3 linked regions of the Caenorhabditis elegans genome follow. The protein of the gene in region 3 interacts with the protein of the main gene of each other region in a pairwise test. Each region holds a gene or a part of one and is shown on either strand. Other genes may lie near its edges.

Region 1 (5,837 bases), on a different chromosome or scaffold from region 3:
CAAAAATATTGCTATTTAATATTTTCATATTAGATTTGAGTTGCCTGAGAATTGGAGTTTTAAAAAATCGAAAACGAGGTGCAAACGCGTTTCAACACCAAATGAAAACGATCCGCCCCCAAACGTTGGGTCTCATTGGGTATTGGCGGCAAAACCAGAAATTCAAACGTTTTCGAACATTATTCAACTGTTTTGTTCTTTTTCGTGATTTTTATGTGGTATAAAAATATAAAAATATAAAAAAAAACGTATCTGAAATTGAAAAATGAATACGCTCGTTTGATTCGGTTTTATATGTTCTTTTTGACATTAAAAAATAATTTTTTAAAAACAGAAAAAATTACAAAAAAGGTCTAAAAACTCTTGAAACCGGCGAAATCAGCGAAAATAATTTGAATTTCTGGTTTCCGGCCGCCAATTCCTAACGAGACCCGTCGTTTAGGGCGGAGCTTTTCACTTGACTATGAGGCGCGCTATTTTCTGCTGCCCAATAATATCTTTGAAAGTATGTTTCAAATTGGCAACAAAACAATTATTAAAACCCGTTTATTGAGCTGAAAATAAATTGTCTAATTTCTTAAAATATATTTTTATCCATTCATGTTTCATCGGGCTCATTGGCTTTGAATTTCAAAGCTTCATCGTCAGAATGAGATCTGAAACACATCGATTTACTTGATTATTACTTATAAGTTCCCCCAAACCTCATATGCGTACGAATCCCTCGCATACTGAATGCTCGGTAGCCGCACACCAAACATGTGAATGTCTTCGTTGTCTGATGCGATGATCGAATGTGCATAGATAGCTGCGAGGACGATGTCGGCACAAAATCGCATTTTGTACACTTCTCCGGTACCTACAAATCTCCTTTTTTTTCTTTCTTTTTTCGTTCTCAACTCAAGCTTGTGCACAAGCTCTCTTTCACTGGCTCGCCATAATTCAAGATTGCAATCAGAAAGAGGCTCGGAGAGATCACGAAAACTGATAAACTGGGAAATGAAGAAACTGAGAAATAAAAGTGTATCTCACCTTTCTCAAAGAATCATTTCTGTGTGGTCCACCACCTGGAGATGATACACGAGTTGTGTGGCTACAGTACAGTTGCTTATGCGCGTCATACGTGGTCTGAGACGAAAACGAGACTCCACAAGTGCACGAGAATGGTCTTTCCGGGTAGATTGGCTCACTGCTCGAGCTTTTTGAAGTTGGAGAACAACTGGCTGAGAGTGATGGAACACTTGGTGCATGGGGTGATGAGGATAAATCCAGAGGAGTTGAAGTTCTTACATTCCTGAATAGAAAAATAAAATAAAAAAGATTTTCATTTATTACGAGAACACGAAATTCTGAAAATGCGTATTACGCAACATATTTGACGCGCAAAATATCAAAACTACAGTAGTTCTTTAAATGACTATTGTAGCGCTTGTGTCGATTTACGGGATCGTTTTTCGAAATGAATTATTTATCAATAGAATATTAAAAATTAGAAACGAATGGAATATCACTGCCGCTTTTCAAAAATATATGCGAACAAGCCCATAAATAGGCACAAGCGCTACAGTAGTCAATTAAAGTAGTTTTCGCTTCGAGATATTTTCGCGTCAAATTTGTCGCACATTTGTCGCATTCTGAGTTTTGTATTCCCGTTATATAAAGGTTAAAAATGTTCCTTTTGAAATCAAGGTCCGCCCCTAAACGTTGGGTCTCGATAGGTATCGGCGCCAAAACTATCAATTTAAATTATTATGTTTTGTCGCCTGTCGTTTTAATTATTTTTAATTTCAAAAATGATGATATAAAAATGCATTCTTCAAACATCATTTTGACATGAATACATATCATGAAAAACAGCAAAAAAGTCGAAAAATGGTTGAAAACGTTTGGATTTTGCCGTCAATTCCTACCAGGACCACATGGAGTCAGAAAGTCCCATTTCGCTTTGATCTTCAAAAAATGGCGGGAGGAGAGACGCAGACATCTCATCTGATTTTGCATGATTAAGAGCATGCTGACGTCACATTTTTTCCGGAAAAAAATTCCCGCATTTTTTGTAGATCAAAGTGCAATGAGACTGTTTGACACCACGTGCAGGACCCCACATTTCGGGGCGGAGCGTTTTTAATTATCTGTGGAGCGCGCTTGCATAATAAGACTGTGTTGCAAAAGAAAAAACCAACTTCTCATCCAAATTGATAATAGGAATCTGCACGGAGAGTTTCGAAGTTGAAAAGTTTGGCATTTCCAATTTTCTCTTGTTATGAATGAGCAAAGGATTTGAGTTGATTAATGCCGAATTTCGTCCAATAGTAACAGGACCCACTACCTAAAAGTTCAATTGAAATTAACAACTAGCTTTCAAACTGAGTTACCTGAAAGGGATTCTGCTGAAAGAGGTCATGAAACGCCATTGGCAACAAAATAACATTTTGTTGTTTTCGAGAATCCGCATTTTCAACTACATTTCCGAGTTTCTTCTTACTACAGTACAAATCTTCATGAACTTTCAAATTGTGAAGGGAGTTGAATTTTGCCACGTGACAGTGTGGACATTCGTGTTCTGAAATTTCGAAATGCAGTTCTTTTCGAAAAGCAAAAAAGCTCACTTTTCTCCAACTTTTCTTGCTCCAGACGATAGTTCATATCAGCGACAAGAATGGCTCGAAGTGGCTCCACGGTCGTCAGATTTTTTGTGAAAAGAATTGTGAACACGGGACCTGAAACATTGGCCTAGGTGAAGTTGAAATTTCAAAAAAGTCGTTTGGTGGACTAATTAGTGAAAGCTAGGCAGGACATGAATTGTCTTTGAGTGCAAAAATATCCGTTTGGGTGGCCTAGTTTTCAATTTCTAGGCCATGTCGTGTGGCTCGCATACCTGTCTGCATAATGACACAATTAGCTAGAAGTGGACCTTGGGCTGCTTGAATTCTCCGCGTCACTGGATTCGATTCCATCTCGAAACCCATCGATTCACCGGTGAAGTTGGAGAGCTGGAAATTAAGGAGGTTCTACGGTGCATTTGTGCGGGGAATATGGTGTATTGTGTCTGTCGAATCAGAAGAATTCAATGCGCCAAAAGTTACGCGCAAATTTGAGAACCCACCGGTAGTCAGAATCCAGTTTTGATCTACAGATATTGCGCCAACTTCTATAACTTACAGTATATGCTTTAACTTACAGTAATCCTCAACAGTTGTCCATTGCCGCTCACAGAATACGGTCCAACACAATCGCCACATCTAAACTCGATTGGTGCGGTCATAACTTGTTTTCGTATTGACTGCAAACTTTTGATGATAATTCAGTCCTCAATATTCAACAAAAAAAGTTTTACGCGATGTGTAAATTTAATTTTCTAATTTTTTTTGCGTTATTTTTGTAATTTTGAATTTATATTTATCATCATTTCCCTATTCATTAATCAATATTTTTGTTTGTCAAATGTAGCGTTTTGGGTCTCGCAACGCTTAATTCTTTTGAGTTTACTGTACTGTAATTTCACCTTTCATAAGAAAACCGATAATAAAAATAAGAACAAATCAAATTTCAACAAGTTGTCAGAAAAAGGTGCAAGATAACATTACTTATTAGAAGAGCACACCTTTTTGCATTTCACAAAAATTTGTAGTGTCGAGACCGGGTTTGAAGCAAAAATCAAAAAATCTACTGTAACTCACGCTAGCTATTGTATTATGCAGAATCGATTGGTTTACATCCATTGTATATAAATGAAGTGGCCGAATGAGAAAACGAAAGAAGAGGCTTCCGACGAAGAAAGATGGGCTCGAGTGAGCGATAAGATCTCAGGGACAACGCGGGGCGCAGAGCAAGTTGTGCGTGCTCCGGCACTCCGAGTCACACAGATTTTGATGATAAGGTGAAGAAGAAGAAGACAAAAGGAAGATTGGGAAGAGCAGATGAAGTGACTGAACAACTGAAATAGATTGAATCTCCGGTTGGAATGAATATTAGATTAGTAGAGATTTGAGAGGAAAAGTTGAGTAGTGAACATTGCGCGTGAAATGTGATGCATTGAGTTGGCAGGTGCTTTAAGAGCAAAATATGAAATTTTAATAGAGAAAATCTAATGTTTTAAACTTCTGAATATTGCTTTGTTTTTGAAATTAATTATTTATGAGAATCTCCAAAGTACTGTCAGATTGAAGCCTTTTACCTTAGTGCATAATTTGAGCTACGGTAATTATTTTTTTGCGTATTAAATGTGCTTACACTTCAACAGTTTAAAGGTACATAGATGTTTCTAGAATATTTTCATAGATGGCTGATTCAAAATTAAAAGCTCTATATAGTAAAGTAATATTATAACATTGACTTTTGCCTACCGAATATCTCAATTATCGCCGTCTTCCTTACTGATCATTATCTACCCCAATTTTTATCTTTAATCAGTTACCACAATCTCTTATCATCTGTGATTCAGTTTAACTATACATGTAGGGATGTTCCCAGTTGTCGACTGTAGACATTTCACTAGGTTGAGGCGTGACGGGGGCGCCTCTCTCTCTCTCTCTCTCTCTCTCTCTCTCTCTCTCTCTCTTCGCCCTTCTCGCGCCCTATCCGTGCAATTCACTTATATACACGCTATAGCTATACAGCGAACTTTATTTTCTTCTTCTACGGTTTCAAAGGCGCACGTATTTATGCGAAATGGTCTCACCACGCGTTACTCATTAATGTTTTTTTTTTTCAATCAATGGGTTGCGCGTAGCGAGGCCATTCCGCTTAAATACGCGTTTATTTTTTTATCAATATAATATCAATTGGAATTATTTTAAATGAAAGAGAAAAAACCCCAAAGCAGAGTTCAAAAGATGTTCGTGCACGATCGTGTAGCAGCAAATCGGCGGCCGAGTTTTTTCTTTCATTTCCGCGGCCGCACAATAATCATGACGGTTTTACTGCATGACCAAGAGAGAGAGAGAGAGAGAGAGAGAGAGAGAAAATCTCGGCCATCAAGGTTTTCATGCAAAATTCAAGTTATCGACAGTTTCCGAAACGCAAAAACATGTGCCAATTTTTTCTCAGAAAAAAACTCACGAAAAATCAGGATAGTGCATACTATAAAAAATAAAATACTGAAAGTATGTATTCTCACAGTTCTCTCTAAAAGCCGCCACGTGGCAATGTCAAAAATTCAAAAGTGCCACCGGTTTTTTTCGAATTAAAACTCAAAAAAGTGATAAAAATGTATTATTACTGATGAAAATGTGAGGAAGAGGAAAAAGAAAGTGAGCCTGTGTGATATTATCATATCAGTTGAATTGAATCAGTGGAGTATGTGCTGATAGGGTTTCTTATCAGTTTCAACTAAAAAAACTAAACGACACCGATTGATTGCAAAACATCAGCTGATTGCAGATGTATGACGTGGCAGGAGGCACTGAAAAGCAAAAAAAGGTTCAGGAAATGTAGGAAAAAGGAAAAGCGGTGATAAAACTATAAAATATGAGGTAACCGGAAACGGGACAGAAGGATTGTTCAGAGAGGGTTCTACAATGCATCTTTTCACCGAATTCCTACTATTTTTTGGGTTTTTCTTAAAAATCGTAAGTTAGGAAAGATTCTGTGTTAATTTTTTTCTTGTTAATCTTAAGGTAGATCCAGAAAAACTGGACAACATTTTTTTGGTGTTCATTACAGTACCCAAGAGCATTTTTTATTCCTCATAATCAGAAAGACACTTTGAATTTTTTTAAAAATGAACTCCAAAAAATATAGAAACCTTCCAGGAATCAGCACTAGAAAGCAGTTTTCCACTAAAAGTCCTTCCGTTGAAATTCGGGGAAAATCCAAAAAATCATGAAAGAGTGTAC
Region 2 (4,888 bases), on a different chromosome or scaffold from region 3:
TCATTTTTTATCAGATTTTCTTAAAAATTAGGTCATCTTCTCATTGTAATTTTCTCTACAAAATGAGCTTAACCTTCCAGAGGCTCCGCCCACTTTTCTCCCTCCACACGCCACGCTGTCCTCGTCGTGTCGCCCTCATTTTCTGCCACCACCACCACACAAGTTTGTTACTTTTCTCCGTTTTTTTCTTCTTTTTTTCCCTTCACATTTTTCTCCTTTTTCTCCTTTTCTCCACAAATTCTTTCCACCTTTTTGCCCCCCTTCTCAGCTTCTGGGGGCTCGAGCACTAAAAGGGAGAAGGTTTCGAAATGTAATGCATGTTTCCGTTCTAAACATACACATACATACACACAAACACGCACGAGACGCTAGAAAAAAATGGAGAGAAAAAAATTTCCTCTCCGCTGGCTCTCCGGAGAAAAAGAGAGCTCACCTCCACATTTTTTTGGGGGAGACAGGAAAAGAAAATGCAACATTTTATGGATCCCTGAGCATGATTTTAGTATGGAATTTGGAAAATTTGGAAAATTTTGATTTTGGGGAAGTTTTGGAATTGTTCGATTTTTTGAAAAAAAATTGCCAAAAATTGTTTTTTTTTCAAAAACTTTCCTAATTTTTGGGAGGTTTTTTTTGATTTCTCTTTAAACTTTATATGTTTCTAAAATATCTATAATTTTCAAAAAAAACCATACATTTCCTGTAAAAATCTATTTAAAAAATTATTTTTTAATTTTTCCCGATTTTTTTTTCAAATTTTTGAGATTAAAAATTACCAATTTTCTAATTTTTTTCAAAACAGAACAAAGTTGTTTCTAGTTTGAGAATTCATGACGAGAAAAAAAGAAAAAAAACGTTGGTAATTTGAGATCGACGGAAAATCTAGAACTTTTTGTTTGTTCAGATAGTTGTTTTTTTTCGAAAAAAAACTTTTTTTTCCGCAATTTTAAAAGTGATAGTTTATGTACCTTTAAAAATTAGGATATCTAAGTGTCTTTAGCCGAAGAGCAATTTTTGGTGTCAATTTCCATTTAAAAAATTTCAAAAAAAAGTCTGAAAATTTTTTTGGAAAAAGCTCTAAAAATTCGGAAAAATTCCTACAGTCCGACAATTTTCAAAATTACTCTAAAATATCTGAAAATTTTCAATTTCCCCCGAAAAATTCCCACAAAATTCCCCCATCCAACTTCTACCAGAAAATTCAGAAAACCGGTCGAACGAAATTTCCCCAATTTTCTTTTCCAATCTTTCTCCCTTTCTGCCCCCTAAAACTTTCCCCGGTTACTCTCTCTCAAAAAAAAAAACGAAAAGAAACAGAAAACATCATCTTAAAAGAGAAAACTGGTTCCTAAAAATTGATTTGGCGGGAAATTTTGTTGAGAAATTGGGGGTCAGGCCAAAATTGGACACTTACTTTTCAGTTTTGTCCGGTTGGTTTTCTTTGCGTGGTTGTCTTAGGCCTAGGCCTAGTTTCAGGCTTAGGGTTAGGCTTAGGCTTAGGCTTAGGCTTAGGTTTATATTTAGCCTTAGGCTTAGGTTTAGGCTTAGGCATAGACCAAAGTTTAGTAATCGGCTTTGGCTGAGGCTTAGGCTTAGGGTTAAGCTCAGGCTTAGGCTTATTCTTGAGCTTAGACTTAGACTTAGGCTTAGGCTTAGGCTTTAGAGCTGTTTTCCCTCTTTTTTTCTCAAGTTTTACTCAAAAATATTCTGCTCATTTTGCTCTTTTTTCTATCCCCTCCCCCTCATATCCGTCACGCTTCTCCCTTCCTTTCAAAGCATCAAAGATTTTTATTTTCTCATTTTTTACTTATTGCTCCGACTAAAAATATAATATAAAATCTCATCTTCTTTTTTTTGCAGCATCTCTATATGTTTGCTCCTTCGACGGTTTATACCTATGGACATCATGGTTCTGGAACAGACGAGGATGATGGGTGAGTGTACAGTACCCTACGGTATTCATAGTCTATCACCTACAGTACCCCTGAATCAACTACAGTGCCCATATGGTACCTAACTACAGTACCTATAGTCTAGTTTTGGTACCCCTATGGGGTCTAGCTACAGTACCCAAATAGATCATAGCTACAATACACATGTTGTACATAGCAACAGTAGTTACAGTAACCATATGGGCTGATGTACAGCACCCATATAGTTCATAGCTACAGTACACAAATGGTTCCTAGCTACAGTAATCATAAAGGAACTAAGTAGAGTTACAGTATCCATATGGTGTCAAGTTACAGTACCCCTAATCCAACTACAGTACCCGTATGGTACCTAGCTACAGTACTCACAGATTACAATTGAGATACAAAACCCCCAAAAACTTTAAAAAAATTTCAGTCAACAGGTCATGCCAGGAATGGATAATGGTGATGGGCAGTGTATGGTGTGTGGAGACAGGTCGGCTGGAAAACACTATGGAGTAATGGCTTGTTATGGTGAGTTTTTCTTTTTTTCCAATTTAGGCCTAAGCCTAAGCCTAAGGTGCTAAGCCAAAGCCCAAGCCCAAGCCTAATCCTAAGCCTAAGCCTAACCCTATGGTCTGAAGTTTATGGCCCTAAGCCTAAACCTAAGCATAAGCCTAAGCTTAATCCTAGGCCTGAGCCTAAGCCTAAGCCTAAGCCTAAGCATAAGACTAAGCCTAAGCCTAAGCTTGATCCTAGCTTTGAGCCTAAGCCTAAGCCTAAGGTCTTGAGTTTATGACCCTAGGCCTAATCCTAAGCCGAAGCCTAAGCTTAAACCTAGGCCTGAGCCTAAGCCTAAGCCTAAGCCTAAGCATAAGACTAAGCCTAAGCCTAAGCCTAATCCTAGCTTTGAGCCAAATCCTAAGCCTACGCCTGAGCCTAAGCTTAGGCTTAAGCCTAAGCCTAAGCCTGAGCTTAAACTTTGAGCTATCAAAAATCATGCAATTTATGACTTATTCATGTTTTCGACTGGAATATTTCAATAGTTTACACAACTTTTTCAAGATTCAATTTTTGAGATATCGCTCAAATTTCTAAAATTTCAGGTTGTAAGGGCTTCTTCCGCCGAACAATCCGATCCCAACAGACCTACACCTGCCGATTCACCCAAAAATGCGCCATCGACAAGGATCAACGCAACGCATGCCGTTACTGCCGGTTCCAGCGTTGCCTGACAGTTGGCATGGAGCCAGAAGCCATTCGACCGGATCGTGACGTCATCGGCAAGCAGAAGAATCCACGGAAGAAGAAGATGAAGTCCGACACGAATAGTGGAAGCATCGATGCATCCCTACCCTCACCGAATGGCTGCGATTCTCCAGTTTCCAATAATGAAGATGTTATTTTGTCATTTTTATTGGATGTTGAAGATCAGGCGACTTGCGGGAATAATCATATCACAATGCCTATTGGAATATCAATGATGATGAAGAATGACCCGGATTTCGATGTGTCCACTTTGTTCCATAGTCAATATGTCAGAAATCAGGAGAGCTTTCCGGTGAGTTGTCGGCTGCTCCTAGGTAAACTTGAAGGGAGCTTCCAGTAACCCGTGATGTGTCGGCCGTTTCTAGAAACAAGGGAAATGTCGGCTGCTTCTAGAAGCCCGGCAAATGTCGGCTGCTTCTAGAAACTAAGCAAATGTCGGCTGCTTCTAGAAACTAAGCAAATGTCGGCTGCTTCTAGAAGCCCGGCGAATGTCGGCTGTTTCTAGAAACCAGGCAAATGTCGGCTGCTTCTAGAAATTTGAAATACAGTGTGGGAAAGTTCTATAGGACCCCCCCCTAATTTGAAGGTTTGAGGAACTTCCGAAAATTTTTTTGAAAAACTGCTAATGCCATTCGTTTTTAAATTGAAAAAAACCTATATACATTTTTTTCCAGAAGTTTATCTCAAAAACTGAGGTCGCGCTGGAAAAAACGTCAAAATCCAGTGTGAAACTTCTATAGGACCCCCCGTTTTTTTTCACGATTTTTACTAAAATCAACAGATTTTGGAATTTTTGACAAAGCTCAAATCAAGTTTGAGTTAGAAATGAGTTCAGATAAGCAGTTTTGACTTTAAAAAATTAATACGAAATGTTCTCGTGGGATCTCCAGACTGGTTCTGATTCTTCCGATCTTTGATGTTCAAGTCTGTTTCAAGCTTCCTGGTGCTCTCGGTAATGCCAAAACTTGATAAACTCTCTTTAACAAGTTCCTACTAAAATTCCTAGCACGCACTTTAGATGTTTCGACTGTGTAGTCAAGCTGATTTGGCAAAATATGCAGCAGGAAACAATGGAAGGCTTATCAGGAATCAAATCGTTTTTCTTTGATTACAAGGTTCCATGGGACCAATATTTCAAGTTAAATTGTCCCTCACAGATGTTATTTACTATTTTTTGCGTGAATTATTAAATGTGGAATTGTGGCATGTGTTGTGGCACACATATAGAGGCTGGAAAGCTTACTTCGAAAGCAGTCTAACTTGCAATGCCTCGAGGATCTGCCCTTTCGGACACTGAACGCGCTCAGCTGGATGTTATGAAATTGCTCAATGTGTCCCTGCATGAAATGAGTAGGAAAATTTCCCGTTCTCGACACTGTATTCGCGTGTATCTGAAGGATCCGGTGAGCTACGGTACATCTAAAAGAGCTCCTCGTCGCAAAGCTCTCTCCGTGCGTGACGAACGAAATGTGATTCGTGCTGCCTCCAACTCCTGTAAGACGGCAAGAGATATTCGCAATGAGCTTCAATTGTCTGCTTCAAAAAGGACCATCCTCAATGTCATCAAACGATCTGGTGTAATCGTTCGTCAGAAACTTCGCCCTGCTCCGTTACTCTCTGCAGACCATAAACTCAAGCGATTGGAATTTGCTAAGAACAATATGGGAACGAATTGGAGTAAAGTGAGAATTTAAAAAAGCAAGAGTGAA
Region 3 (6,674 bases):
CCAGCGATATTTTTTCTTATGTAGGCCAGGATCAGAGCATCCTTTTTTGCTACATGATATAAAAACCTAAACTTCGGGAACTAATTAATTTTTTTCAGCAAACCTTATCTACAGTTTTCTGGATGCAAGATCTTTATTTTTAAAAGAGCTGCCGAGTTCTAGTATTTCTAGACCACTACGTGTGGCAACATTCTTTCTCTTCCTATTTTTAGCTCTATATACCCCGGTTGACTTGATAGGCGAATTTAATTGAGAATTATAAATTTTCCATTTTCCAAAAAGTAAAATTCCAAATTCAAATGTTCTTTCTCCCACTCCAATATTGTAACATACAATAAAATTTAATCCTATCTCTCTTTCCTCTGTGCTTTCCATAACCTCTCTTCCATTTTGCCCGTTGGTGGCAGGCGATGGGCGGGTTTGACATCGTCCTTTAAGAATAATAAAATGTGTCATTTGGTGCCCTCTTTATCTCTATTTCTCTATTCCTCTCTAACTCTCGTTTACAAAACGCCACCTGCTCTCTCTTTCTCTTCATTTGACCCCTCTACTCCCAACACCCAAACAGACACCATCCTTTGTTCCGTTTTTTTTGGTTTTTTGATGGTGGACAGTGGTGATGGACATTTCGTTTTACTCCATGTTTTATTTTATTCTAATGTGCTATGTGTGCAACCAACATCTGCCTTCCACCGGTATAATGAGATTTTGACTAGGGAAGGGTCAACTCATGGTCACGTTGGCGACTCTTTTGGGACTTTTGAGTGAACATTTCTAAATTGTAGATTTTTCGCTATGGCCAGTTGTCAACCCTAAAAATTGGGATTTTCATGGTTTTTAAGGTACTGTTTTTTTCATGCAATATTTCAAATTCAATTATCTACAAACAAAAATATTTTCTGGAAAATATTCAACTGAAAAGCCAGCTGATATTTTCCAGCATTTTGTCAGTTGATAACTTTTTTCTAGCATCACAAAGTTATGATAATTTAAAGACTCTCCACACTTCCAACAGAGGTAGCAAAGAAACGAAAAGCTCTCGCTCAATAGGGTGCTGAGAAGCTAGACTCTGCACTCTCTTTGCAATTCCAGTTAGGAAATTTATAACTAACTAAAAATTGGCAAAAAATATTTTAATATTCTGAATTTATAACGAACTTTTGGCTTCTGGGGTAGTCACTTTGAAAGCTACATTTTGACGCGCCTTTTTTAAACGCCTTTTCGAAAATTTTATTTCAAAATTCGTTTAGTCTTCAGAATACAATATGATTCTGACATTTTTGGCAGAAAATTACATTTTTCACACTCCGTGGGAGGTCTATAAATTCGTTTTATGTTAATCGTGGCCAGTTAAAATTTTCAGCGCGTGCGCCTTGAAACTTTATTTTTCAAAAAAAAAACTTTTCCCCCCGATTACGCCTTCCCCAATTCTCGCCTATTTTGTTACACAAATTTAATTAAAATTTTTTCTAAAATTTTCATTATTTTCTCTTTCCCTCTCTCTTTTTCTGCAAAACCCACCTAGAAAACAATTTATGTGAAATTAAATTGTTATTTACTGCGCAACCGGAAAAATAAAATAAAATTTAAAAATTTGTAAAATGCGAAATCAGCAATTCAAGTATCTCTCTCCCTCTCTTTCTGGTGTCCTCGTCATCCACTACCAGCCACAAAAATAAAAAAAGAATTTCGCATTTTTTATGTGATTCAGAGAAGTGTCTCCCGTATTCGAGTACTATTTTCGAGTTTTGCAATACATCTTATCAAAAATATATGTTTTGGGGTGAAACGGGAAAATAGAAAGAGAGGGACAAGTGAGAGAGCAGAATTTAATATTTTTGATGACTTTTTCAAACAAATTTTTTTTGTTGAAAACTTTTTCCCTCACTTTTTCACATTTCTTATCATTCTTCTTCGCTTTCTCGAAATTTAATTTCATTTTTTAAACGCATTATCAATATGTTATACTTAATATTTCAGATCAACTCAGATGATGCTCCAACCGCCAACTTTAACGCCGAATGCGAATGGTGAAGAGTTCAGAGGATCCGTCAGTACAGATCGTAGTTCAGCTTCTCCTTCCAACATTGACGTGAGTTTGGATTTTCATCGTTTTGATGTGAAAAAAGAACACTATAAAAAATTACAAGACATATAAAAAAATTTTACTGTATGTCTTTTTTCAAACTTGTTCCCATGTCTTACATATTTAAAAACTATACATTAAGCTTGGAGAGAGGTTCAAAATTTTTGAATGTCTGAAAACCTACATGGGCGACCTCTAAAATTTCTAGACTTTAACAACAAAAAAATTGTGTTCTAAAAAAATTTCGCAGTTTCAAAGATGTAACGCAAATACATATATTACACATTTCTCAATCTTTTCTCTTGTTTTCGCACTCGTTTTGCCCGCCTCCCTCATTCATTTTCACAATTTCTCTCTCGTTTATTTTTTGCCTCAAACATCTCAAGATGATTTTTTATTTATTTCGAAGAAACTCGCAATTTCATTTTTTTCAACATTTTTGCCTCGCTCGTTAAATGTAAGAGAAATAGACATATTTTTCGATATGTATTGAAAAAATTGAGGTGAGAGTGAGAGCGATGAAAATGTGCTAATTCAGAAGGCAAACAACTTTTTTTTTCGATATAAAATTTATGAAACATTTTTTTTCGTTTTCCATATTTAGAAGTGCTTTTGGAAAAGGTTTAGTTTTGCCTTTATGCTCACTTTGAAATAAAATTTGCCGCTGTGGGACTCTGTGGGACTCGGAACCACACATATTTTGTTTTCCCGCTCTTTCTCTCCCTTTTTTCTGTTTAACAAAACCTTTTCAAAATAAAAAAAAGAGCACAATTTTCTTTTGGTTTTTTTTTGCGTTGTCCCCACAAGAATTTTATTATTTTATTATCTACACATTACACGATAGAAAATAAAACGTAGCGAAAATATTATCAGTTATCGGAATCGTTAAAATTATTGAAAAATTATAGATGAAAAAAATTCTTCTTCTTTTTCTTTGATAATGATAGGAATTAACAGAAAATTTCAATTTAATGATGATTGTTAGATGCTCGCGGAGCACACGACAATTCCGTAAAAGTGCGCGAACAAACAAACAGACTGTTTTTTTTGTTGAAAAAGCGAACTTTTCCTCCTCCCCTTCTTTCAATTTGTGCTCTCAAATCATTCATTTTTCCTACAAACATAAAAAACCCAATTTCTTTCGATTTTCCGTATTTTTTATGGCGCTCTTCTAAAACCGCACTATTTCTTTTCCATTTTTTTTCAATCAAATATTTATATATTTTTTTATTTATTTTGAGAAGGAAAACGGACAGGGGGGAAGGCGAGGTGGTGGTTGAGCCAGCAGCCCGCTCCCTCTCCTGTCACAGCAGCACCCAGCCACCACATACATACAACCCTCAATTTGAGTGAATTTGTGACCAATTTTCTAAATTTATTTGGTATTTGTTAGGTTGCTGCACGAATTGCTCGAATATAAATATATCTGATACATGAGTTTTTGCAATTCTTATTGATCAAGCTTAAGCTCTTCTCTAATTCTGAAATATTTGTAGGAGATCATGGAAGACGATGTGAATCAGAAGGACGAGGATGAAGATCTGAACTTAGTGGATCGTGTCAGCAAGCTCGAGACAAATTTTGTATTCATTCAGCATCAGGTGAGTGAAAAACTATTAATAAATTATTTTATTTTCTAAATCGAGAATGAAAGAAGTAGAAAAATATATTTGCACAACAATTTCGACAAGTGCAATGTGTAATGCAACAAGTCATAGGTGTCTAGTATTTATTTTGAAAATTTCCAAAAAAAAACTCGACTAGACACAACAATAGGCTTACCGTCCGTCACACATACTATTTTTTTCGATTTTTCACCCGTGGAATTCATTTTCATTTTCATTCACAAAGTTTACATTTGACCATCTCTCTTTCCCTCTGTCGCCCTGTCTCGGGGCTCACGCATCGTATACATACCGGACAGAGGAAGCAGATTGAAGAAGAAGAAGTGAAGACAGCGATCGTCAAATAGTGTGTTTTGTGGGAGGAAATAGTAGAATGATCCAAAAATAAATTAAATGTCAACATTTATTGACGCGGAAAAATGGAAAAAAAATATAATTTTATCGTGGTGTTATGAAATTTAAAATATACATGGACCCATTGAACTGTATGTTTCCAGCTATCCTCTATCATGAACCATCTTCATGCTCCACAATGCAAGTGTACAACATGCTCCAAAGTCAACCAACCTGGAGCTGAAGAGCAGAAGAATGATACATCAGTGCTCTCGCAGCTATTCCCTAATGCTTCTGATCAGCAACTCAAGACTCTCCTCGATCTCTCGAAAATGAACAAGTTGCCATCACAAGTTGTTCACAAGGATCAACAGAACGGATCATCTTTTCTACCATCAGCAAATAAGACCTCTGAAAATCCAAAACCTATTGAACTGAAGCCTCTGAAGCTTGGACAAGGCTATCAGATGGCGAATGGTGGAGGTGGAGGCAAGATTCATACCGAAAGACTCTCAGAACCAGCGAGAAAGCAGAGCCGGAAAGTTGGATTCCCACCACCAGTTGCTTCATATTATCAGAGAAAGGAGAGCTCGAATCGTAAGTTCACTATACAACCACAGCGCAATCTAGAAACTCTAATTTTCAGCTTTGGTCCCGCCAACTCCATTGTCGTCCATCCCAAATCTGATTACAAATTCCAATGCAGTATCAGCCAACACTTCAACAGCTTCACCAGGACCCTCCTCGGAAGGAAGTGGTGATGATCATCTTGAGGCTCCAAATGAGGTGGCTCACATGCATTCTAGTACCGTACCAGCTACACCAACAACTCCAGGAGCCAACTTGTTCACTCAATGTAAGTAGATCCGCATGTTTTTTCTTAAATTTTTGCCAATTTCAATTATGCTAAAGGGAAGGAAATCTAACTTTAAGTAATTAGAGCAGTACTTGAATTATATTTTTTATCAATGCAAAACAAATTAATTTTTAATTTTTCAGCTATGGTCGATATGCTCAAACTGAATGCACAAAACGCTGCTCACTCGACAGGTTCTCCTGGATTCTTACGTGGACGTGGTCGCGGACGTCCAAAGCTTATCGGAGATGAACTTGATGCTGATCTCGTTGACTACATGGTTTCCCTGAAGAACTCAGATCCACATGGTGGCCACTTCACCGCATCTCAGGCCCTGCATATGGCTCGTCAATACATACTCGAAAGAGCTCCAGGCCTTCTCGAAGAGCATGGAGGTCATGTAAAGCTGAAGCTCACCTGGGCGATGAAGTTGGTGTCGAGAATTGGGGAACGACAGCGGGAAATCGAGCTAGGACTTCCAGCCGGAACACTGTCGAATATGGGACGAAACTTGACAAATATACCGGCTGGTGGCAATTTTATGGCTGATATGATGGCTCAGAACATCTTTTCGCAGCATATGATGATGGTGAATCAACAATTGGAAGGTGGATCTCCACCAGCATCTTCTTCATCAACTGCCACGACATCGACAGCCACGAAGACAGTGAAGCAAGAGTCGAAAAATGGACATCAGAATGAGGAAAATTTAAATGTGAAACAAGAAGGTGAGTTGTCACGGGTTCTAGTCCAACTTCACTTGAACCTTCTCTAAAATTATAATTTTCAGCCTCCACGATGCCCGAAATAATAAATATCAAAGAGCTCAATCTTCCATTCCTCAACAACTTCCTTGCCGAACTAAACGACAACAACTCGGGACTGATTGACGGTGAAATTGGTGCAGCAGGTCCATCCATGGCTGCTCTTTTTGCTCCGAACGCATAATTTTTAAAAACATTTTTTTGTTTTATTTTCTTGTTGTAACATTTTACTACTGAACCTCCATTCATCTCAAAACAGACCACCCGATTTTATGGGTATTTTTCGATATATTCTTATTGTCAATTACTTCTACTTTTTCCCTGTCATCACCTCTTCCTATATGTATCATTTTCTACACATAGGCATCACTTTCAACATGTTTTATACTTGCTTTTTTTTTTGATTTTCCAATTTTCCAATTTTCCGGCATCAACATTCACAAAACAAAATATGTTAACAAAATTCAAATTAACAGTATTCAAATAAATTATACAATCAAATATTTCCTTTTCAAGTATTATTATAGGAACGGATGAGAAGTGCCACGTAGGCAATTATGCGAATTCCGATGAACATTCCAAACAGAATTGAAATATCAAAAATTTTATGCGAAGCCGAGAAATCGATCTGTAATTTTAAACCATAAAAGCTTGAACAATGAAAGTTCCACCTCGTTGTGAAAAACTTCTTTTGAGCATTATTCGATGTTCAGAAAATAAACACCAAAAAGTCTACGATTTAGTTTGGTTAAGTAATCCAACACTGAGAAACAGATTTTTTAAATGTTCCTAAATTAATTTCTAATAATCCAAAACACTAACCGATTCCAAAACTTGATGCCCATTTTTTGGGCAGCTATCCAACGCAAACGCAGTCATTGAACTATTGAAACACTCCGGAATCACTTTGATCGAATCCCATTCATTGATCGCGAGAGCTTCATAACCGTATCTAAAAGATTTGTTATTATATAACACAAATCATCATGTTTACTTGAAATAAGAGAGCG

Evidence for each region. Proteins that work in one complex are often made in the same cells at the same time.
Region 1: the proteins of attf-4 (region 3) and F21A9.2 interact in a two-hybrid assay, tested with the Caenorhabditis elegans proteins (one large-scale study listed by BioGRID).
Region 2: the proteins of attf-4 (region 3) and nhr-88 interact in a two-hybrid assay, tested with the Caenorhabditis elegans proteins (one large-scale study listed by BioGRID).

The regions. Positions count from the first base shown.
Region 1 is NC_003279.8:3,705,499-3,711,335, forward strand, and holds F21A9.2 (C2H2-type domain-containing protein), read right to left. Parts: upstream 3,938-5,837; 5' UTR 3,723-3,937; coding exon 3,681-3,722; intron 3,284-3,680; coding exon 3,182-3,283; intron 2,994-3,181; coding exon 2,879-2,993; intron 2,721-2,878; coding exon 2,610-2,720; intron 2,564-2,609; coding exon 2,376-2,563; intron 2,330-2,375; coding exon 2,184-2,329; intron 1,295-2,183; coding exon 1,033-1,294; intron 860-1,032; coding exon 705-859; intron 657-704; coding exon 599-656; 3' UTR 532-598; downstream 1-531. Other genes in the region: F21A9.1 (PRELI/MSF1 domain-containing protein), read left to right, coding at 5,520-5,570, 5,754-5,837.
Region 2 is NC_003280.10:2,976,559-2,981,446, forward strand, and holds the start of nhr-88 (Nuclear hormone receptor E75), read left to right. Parts: upstream 1-1,857; 5' UTR 1,858-1,866; coding exon 1,867-1,931; intron 1,932-2,346; coding exon 2,347-2,444; intron 2,445-2,710; exon of another isoform or gene 2,711-2,785; intron 2,786-2,830; exon of another isoform or gene 2,831-2,884; intron 2,885-3,016; coding exon 3,017-3,471; intron 3,472-4,197; coding exon of another isoform or gene 4,198-4,287; exon of another isoform or gene 4,288-4,372; intron 4,373-4,888.
Region 3 is NC_003281.10:6,078,583-6,085,256, forward strand, and holds attf-4 (AT hook-containing protein attf-4), read left to right. Parts: upstream 1-1,980; 5' UTR 1,981-1,993; coding exon 1,994-2,092; intron 2,093-3,582; coding exon 3,583-3,687; intron 3,688-4,208; coding exon 4,209-4,641; intron 4,642-4,690; coding exon 4,691-4,900; intron 4,901-5,043; coding exon 5,044-5,628; intron 5,629-5,690; coding exon 5,691-5,848; 3' UTR 5,849-6,166; downstream 6,167-6,674. Other genes in the region: ABC transporter ATP-binding protein/permease wht-1, read right to left, coding at 6,176-6,292, 6,487-6,616, 6,659-6,674.